Oryctolagus cuniculus: one gene and its partner. The protein of the gene in region 2 purifies or fractionates together with the protein of the main gene of each other region. This does not show direct contact. Links are inferred from orthologs where the notes say so. Each region holds a gene or a part of one and is shown on either strand. Other genes may lie near its edges.

Evidence for each region.
Region 1: the proteins of PDRG1 (region 2) and POLR3K purify together in Homo sapiens (affinity purification with mass spectrometry; 3 studies listed by BioGRID and IntAct, with this or other methods). This does not show direct contact. The link is inferred for Oryctolagus cuniculus from reciprocal best matches to the Homo sapiens genes PDRG1 and POLR3K.

The regions. Positions count from the first base shown.
Region 1 is NC_091450.1:34,577,169-34,580,143, reverse strand, and holds the end of POLR3K (DNA-directed RNA polymerase III subunit RPC10), read right to left. Parts: intron 863-2,975; coding exon 735-862; downstream 1-734. UniProt on the Homo sapiens protein: Core component of RNA polymerase III (Pol III) which synthesizes small non-coding RNAs using the four ribonucleoside triphosphates as substrates. Can mediate Pol I proofreading of the nascent RNA transcript.
Region 2 is NC_091442.1:25,802,920-25,806,826, reverse strand, and holds the start of PDRG1 (p53 and DNA damage-regulated protein 1), read right to left. Parts: upstream 2,510-3,907; 5' UTR 2,366-2,509; coding exon 2,279-2,365; intron 1,096-2,278; coding exon 1,020-1,095; intron 1-1,019. UniProt on the Homo sapiens protein: May play a role in chaperone-mediated protein folding.

The DNA of each region.
Region 1 (2,975 bases), on a different chromosome or scaffold from region 2:
TTACATATGCAGGGGCATGCCATGGGTTGAGCTGTGCAGACAGTATAAATACTGAAGGGCTCTGGAAGAGGAGCAGAGTGAACCTGAAGCAGAGCTCCCACCGAGGGTCTCCCCCGAGCAGAGAGAACAGAGTGAGGGTCTCCCCCGAGCAGAGAGAACAGAGTGAGGGTCTCCCCGAGCAGAGCAGCAAGGGTCTCCTCCTGGAGCAGAGAGAAGACAGCGAGGGTCTCCTCCCCTCAGCAGAGAGAACAGAGCGAGGGTCTCATCACCCCCCAGCAGAGAGAACAGAGCGAGGGTCTCCCCCCAGCAGAGAGAAGACAGCGAGGGTCTCCTCCCCCCCAGCAGCGCACAGGAGGGTCTCCTCCCCCCCAGCAGAGCGCACAGTGAGGGTCTCCCCCCAGCAGAGCACACAGCGAGGGTCCCCCCCCCAGCAGAGCGCACAGCGAGGGTCTCCCCCCAGCAGAGAGAAGACAGCGAGGGTCTCCTCCCCTGAGCAGTGCACAGCGAGGGTCTCCTCCCCCGAGCAGAGCACACAGTGAGGGTCTCCTCTTCGCCCACGAGGACTCTCTGGCCCCCGATGACTTCATCCACCGACGGACGATGTTCCTGGCACCCTGGCCCTGCCCTCAGGAGGGCTCGCTCTCTGCCACACCAGCGAAGACCCTAGGACACACAGCTCACATTCCTTGCCAGGAGTCCACCCTGGGGACCGGCACAGCTGGGCCAGCGCAGCCCTAGTCCCTCCAGCGGTGCCCGCACTGGGGGCTGCAGCACTTGTAGAAGGTGGTCATGGGCTCGTCTGCAGAGCGCGTCTGAAGCTGCATGAAGTAAGCACGAGGATGTTCGCACTTGGGACACGGCTCTGCAAAGGAGAAAAACCAACCAGGGAACCACATTACATAAAATGACGCTGGTGGGGCCAGCATGGCGGCACAGTGGGGGGCCACCGCCTGCGACACTGGCATCCTATGTGGGCGCTGGTTAGAGTCCCGGATGCTCCACTCCGGATCCAGCTCCCTGCTAGTGCAGGGCAAGAGCAGCAGAGGACGGCCCAAGTACCTGGGCACTGCCACCTGTGCAGGAGACCCAGGCACTGGCCTCAGCCTGGCCAGCCTTGGCCATCACAGACATCTGGGGAATTAACCAGCAGTTGGAGGGTCTCCTTCTCTCCTACCCTGTCATCTTGCCTTCCAAATAAATCTTATCTTTAAAAAAGAGTTATTTGTTTATTTGAAAGAGTTAGAGAGAAAAGGAGAGACAGACGTCCACCTGTTGGTTCATCCCCAAATGGCTACAACAGACAGGGCTGGGCCAGGCCAAAGCCAGGAGCTTCATCTGGGTCTCCCAAGTGGGAGCAGGGGCCCAAGGACCTGTGCCATCACCCGCAGCTTTTCTCAGGTCATTTGCAGGGAGCTGGAAGCGAAGTGAAGCAACTGAACTTGAACCGGCGCCCATCTGGGAAGCTGGTGCTGCAGGGGCAGCTTAACCTGCTGGGCCACAGCGCTGACCCCAAACAGATAAATCTTCACAAAAACGATGCTGGTGAGGGACACTTCGTAAGATCACTAAGGACACTACCAACAGAGGCTCCACTCCCACCAAGCTCGAACACTGAAGGGACAGGTGAACCTGTGCCCTGTGAAACACTCCTCCCGTCCTGGGACCCTGCGTCTCTCCCATCTGGCTGGAGACTGATTAGAGAAGTAACTTGGAAGGGGGCTATCTCCACGGTTGGTGCTGCTGTAACAAACTGCTGGAGACTGAGTAATGGGGAGAGGCTCAAACAGCTTTGAAGTAAGTACTGAAAAGCCTGTGTAAGAGAATTTCAAAGAGCTCATAGAAAATGAAACTAACAGTTTCCAGTCCATGCATAGTTTCTAAAAGATTTACGGATCTATTTGAAAGGCAGAGTGACCTCTGATGAAGGAAGAGAAAGAAGCCAAGTCTGATTAATATCAGACGCCCTGGTTAATATCAGACGCCTGTCTCCCTTCTCGTGCAATCCACAGGAATAATTTACCAACTACTGTTTAAATGCACGTTTTTCAGTAGCTCTAGAAACTTTTTTTTTTTTTTTTTTTGACAGGCAGAGTGGACAGTGAGAGAGAGAGACAGAGAGAAAGGTCTTCCTTTTGCCACTGGTTCACCCTCCCATGGCCGCCGCGGCCAGCGGTGCACCGCGCCTATCTGAAGGCAGGAGCCAGGTGCTTCTCCTGGTCTCCCATGGGGTGCAGGGCCCAAGCACCTGGGCCATCCTCCACTGCACTCCCGGGCCACAGCAGAGAGCTGGCCTGGAAGAAGGGCAACCGGGACAGAATCCGGCGCCCCAACCGGGACTAGAACCTGGTGTGCCGGTGCCGCTAGGTGGAGGATTAGCCTAGTGAGCCGCGGCACTGGCCAAGTGTAAATAATTTTTAAGAGGTGAAATCACTTGCTGGTTGTTTGTTTTTTGATACAACCAGAAAATAGTAGCATTATAATAATACAGACAGACAGACAGACAACACAGTCCATCATGGGAGGCTTCGGCTGTCGTGGCCGTCAGCTTGACACTCCACAGGTGGGGGTGGCTTTTATATCCTACAACACATACTAAACGGCAAAGGTGCATTTCATCTGTCCTGACAGAAAACCACCCGGCGTTGCTGTCAGACCACGTGTGCTCTGTCAATCTCTGGCTGTGGGGGTCCACTTTCCCTAGTGGTTTAGTTCACGTTTTTGAGTCTGTCACATACAGGATGTTACCCTGTAAAGGGCGGGATTTATGTCACATCAACGCTTGAAGATGCTGGTGCTTGATGGGAAGAGCTGCCTCCAAATTTGAAGCTGGAAATGACTGGAGTGACTTTTGAAAACAGAACGAAAATTCAGGCTTCCTAGATTCTGCCTTGCATGTTAAGAACTGTGTAAAAATGAAAATGTCTGCGTTGATTCTCAACACCAGTGAAATCTCAGTTAACAAGCAGAAGGCCGAG
Region 2 (3,907 bases):
AGACAGTGAGAGACACAGAAAAGTTTTCCTTTTTCCGTTGGTTTACCCCTCAATGGCCGCTAAGGACAGTGCATTACAGCCGGCGCACTGTGCCGATTCAAAGCCAGGAGCCAGGTACTTCTCCTGGTCTCCCATGTGGGTGCAGGGCCCAAGCACTTGGGCCATCCTCCACTGCACTCCCGGGCCACAGCAGAGAGCTGGACTGGAAGAGGGGCAACCGGGACAGAATCGCCGCCCCAACTGGGACTAGGACTAGAACTCGGGGTGCCGGCGCCACAGGCGGAGGATTAGCCTAGTGAGCCGCGGCTCCGGCCATAAATACATCTTAAAAAAAAAAAAGATCAGAAATGTGCTGGAGGTGTCACAACAGGCAGGAGACGCACGGGTTTGGAGCTCGTGAGAGAGAGAATACTGGACAGTTGCGGGGTGGACGCTGGGCTACACGGGGTCTTACAGGATGACTCTGGATTTTACTTCCGTGCCAGGAGAAGCAACGGGAAGGCTGTACACATTGCAGCGCCCTTCAAACAGAACACAAACTTCTTCCCTTGGCCCCTCGGCCCTTCATCACGGCGGGGTCTCTGCTCTCTCACCCGCCCTGCCACCCCCTGAACTCTGGCCTCACCTACAGAGCTCTGCTTCTGAGATACTCAGCACCCGCCCCACGTCCAGGCCCATTCTTAGCCGCCTCCCGACTTGCACCTACACGTCTTCTGCTGTGTTTCTCACCAGAGTACAAGGGCAGCGGCTGTCGCCTTGATGGACCCCAGCGCAGTCTGCCACAGCTGATGAGGAGCTGGCAGCCCGCCACTAAGGCGCCCAGCGGGAATCCCCGGCCAGGCTGTGTCAGCACCCACTAGGCTGCGTCCACATCTGCGGCCTCCCGCCTGGTCTCCACCGGGGGCACGATGAAGGCCTCTATGGAGGTTTCATCTAACTGATACGTCACAATTATACAAACTATGGGATAAACGCGTTTCCATTCGGTACAGGGCGGCGGGCAGGAAGTCTCCACTCACCAGAGCCGCTGAGCTCCTTCTGCAGGGCCCTCAGGCCCTCTCGGTTCTGATTCCTTTTGGTGTCCAGGTCCACAATCTGCAAAGCACAGGGACAGGGGCTCTCAGCTACCTCCTGCCCAAGCTGGCACATCCCGACAGACACGGGGCTGCTGACGTCTTTCCCCTCCTAAACACAACGCTGTGCCCAGGTGCCGCCCACCCCACAGGGGCTGGCAAATGTCTGCTAAGTGGGCGATTCTGCAGTAACTAAACCAGAATCACCAGGGGCATCTGACGCCTCCCCACACTCTGATTAAGCAGGCCTAAGCAGCTCGGGTGCTGGACAAAGTACTCCCGCTGACTCCGACTCGGTATGGTGAGAAAGCACCACGCTGGCTGCTAAGCAGTGAGGAGGCGGGGGTGCCCGGCTGGGCTGGCGAGCCGGAGCACAGCACACCGAGGACTCCTGCTGGGCACCGCGAGCTGGGCACTTTCATCTTCCTATGTGCTCCCCTGAACAACCGTCGGGAGCACCTGCCACTGTTCCTCTCGGCCCGCACGCCGGAGGCAGTACTCAGCCCGACTCCTCCCCAGGTCTTCCCTCTCTCGGTAAACACAGGACCAGCCACTCAAGCACTACCTGAAGACGACAGGGAGTCGCGGACCACTCAATTCCCACTTCCTCACCTGCCACTGCCTCCTGATCCATCCACTTCGCCAGCACCAAAACCTGGAGCGGCAAACGCCCCTCGCTGGTCTCCTGGCCTCCATCCTCGCCCTCCTATAATCCGCACAGCTGCGGGAATATCCTAAAGCCTAGGTCCAGCTTTTTACCCACCCCTTCCCCGTGAACTCTCTTTAGAAGCGTGGCACTTAAATCAGAACCCGACCCACGCCGCCTGGGCAGGCCTGCAGCGCCCTCAGCGACCAGGGCAGCCCCCGTGACCTCCTCTTTGCCCTTCTTCTCCCCTCGGGGCCTTGACCGGCCCAGCGCGGCCAGACTCGCGGCGAGGCGCGGGAACTGCCTTTTGAAACAGGTGCTCGAGAAACCGGCCCGAAGCGGTAATGGGTCAGGACCCGGAGGACACGCTACGGGGCAGACAGGGACGGAGCCAGACTGAACGCCCACTTAACGCCAGCCAGCGTCCGACTCACGTTACCACGGCCGCCCGCGCCTGTGGTGGCGGAGCTCAGGCCACCGGCCCGGGTCCATCCACGGGCCCCGCGCGCTGCCCTACGCGCTGGCCGCCGGGCCCCAGCGCCGCGGCCCGGCCTCCTACCTGCCGCTTGTCCGCCAGCACCTCCTCCGCGAGCTCCTCCACCTCCACCAGGTACTGAAGCACTCGCTCCGCCTCGGGGGACAGCATGGCACCCGGCAGCTACCACCGCAGTTCAAACGCCACCAGGTTCAAGCTCTGCTCCGGCGCCGATTCGACTCCTCCGCGCACGCGCCGTCCGGACAGGGCTTCCGGCGCGCCTGCGCAATCAAAAGAAGCACTGTGGCGCGCTGGCTCCGACGCACGCGCGTTGACGGAACGCCAGAGGCGGGGCCTCTCTTTGAGGAGCGCGTTTGGAGCGCCCCCTGCAGGCCCAAAGAACACAATCGGCAGAGAGCGCTGCCTCCTACCCTTCCCGGTCCTCCCCGCTACTAATATTTCCTATGCACCCACTAGATGCCAGGCAGTTGGCAGTGAATAAAGAAACTAGTGGGAAACACTGACAAATAATTATACGCCATGGTGGGTAGTGGTAAAGGCTTTGCAGAAGTGGAAGTCAAGCCCGTGTGGCAGTGGGACTTATGTTTAACCTGAGACACCGTCATCTTCCCGGTTATGAATAAAGAGGCCTAGGAATCCCCTCATGGTCTTCGGAGGAAGCAGTGAATTTTTTTTTGTTTGACCCGTGTTTGTTGAATCCCTCTGTTGGGTCCGATGTCCAGAGTTGCTGACCTAGACATAAAGGAGGGGCTGGAAACTATGGGCAGCGACCCTTGAAGCTCCAAGTCAGAAAAGAGGTCTGCATGCACTGGACAGTGAATTGGTGTTGGGTCATGGGATCCAGGAGGGCACCCAGAGGAGGCAGGTGGGTGCAAGTGGCTCCCAGCAGAACCAGGAGGCTCCCTAGGGCTCTTCATGCCCTTCCCCTTCATGGAATGGCTGGGAAATCAGGGAAGGAAGGACTTTGAAAAGTTAACAGCAGGGTCCGGCGTTGTGGCGTAGCAGGTAAAACTGCTGCCTGGAGTGCCGGCATCCCATATGGGCACTGGTTTGAGTCCTGGCTGCTCCACTTCCAACCCAGCTCTCTGGCCTGGGGAAGCAGAGGAAGATGGCCCAAGTCCTTGGGCCCCTGCACCTGCATGGGAGACCTGGAAGAAGCCGCTGGCTCCTGGCTTCAGATTGGCGCAGCTCCAGCCATTGCGACCAATTGGGGAGTGAACCATCAGATGGAAGACCTCTCTCTCTCTCTGTGTCTCTCCTTCTCTCTCTGTGTAACTGTGATTTTCAAATAAATAATAAATCAATCTCTTTAAAAAGCATTAACAGCAGACCTGATCTAGACTCTGACCTCCCTGCCTCCCTGAATCCAGTGTAACCTTTATTCAAGAAGCAGAGAGAGACAGAGGTAGGCAGACAGAGGTTCTCTCCCCAGATGCCTTAATGAGCCAGGGCTGGGTCAGGCCAAGGCGAGGAGCTGGGAGTTCACCCCAAGGACTTGAGCCGTCACTGCTGCCTTGCTTGGTCTGCATTAGCAGGAAGCTGGTGACTCCAGCCTTTTGTTCTTGGCTCTTGGCCCACCCTCTCGGCCCCTCTGCCTTTCCTGTATCCCACAGCAACCTTCATCCAGACAGCATCCTTACCGCCCAGCGTTGTAGCCTCAGATTTAGGCCAGGAGAGGGGCAGTGCCTTGCC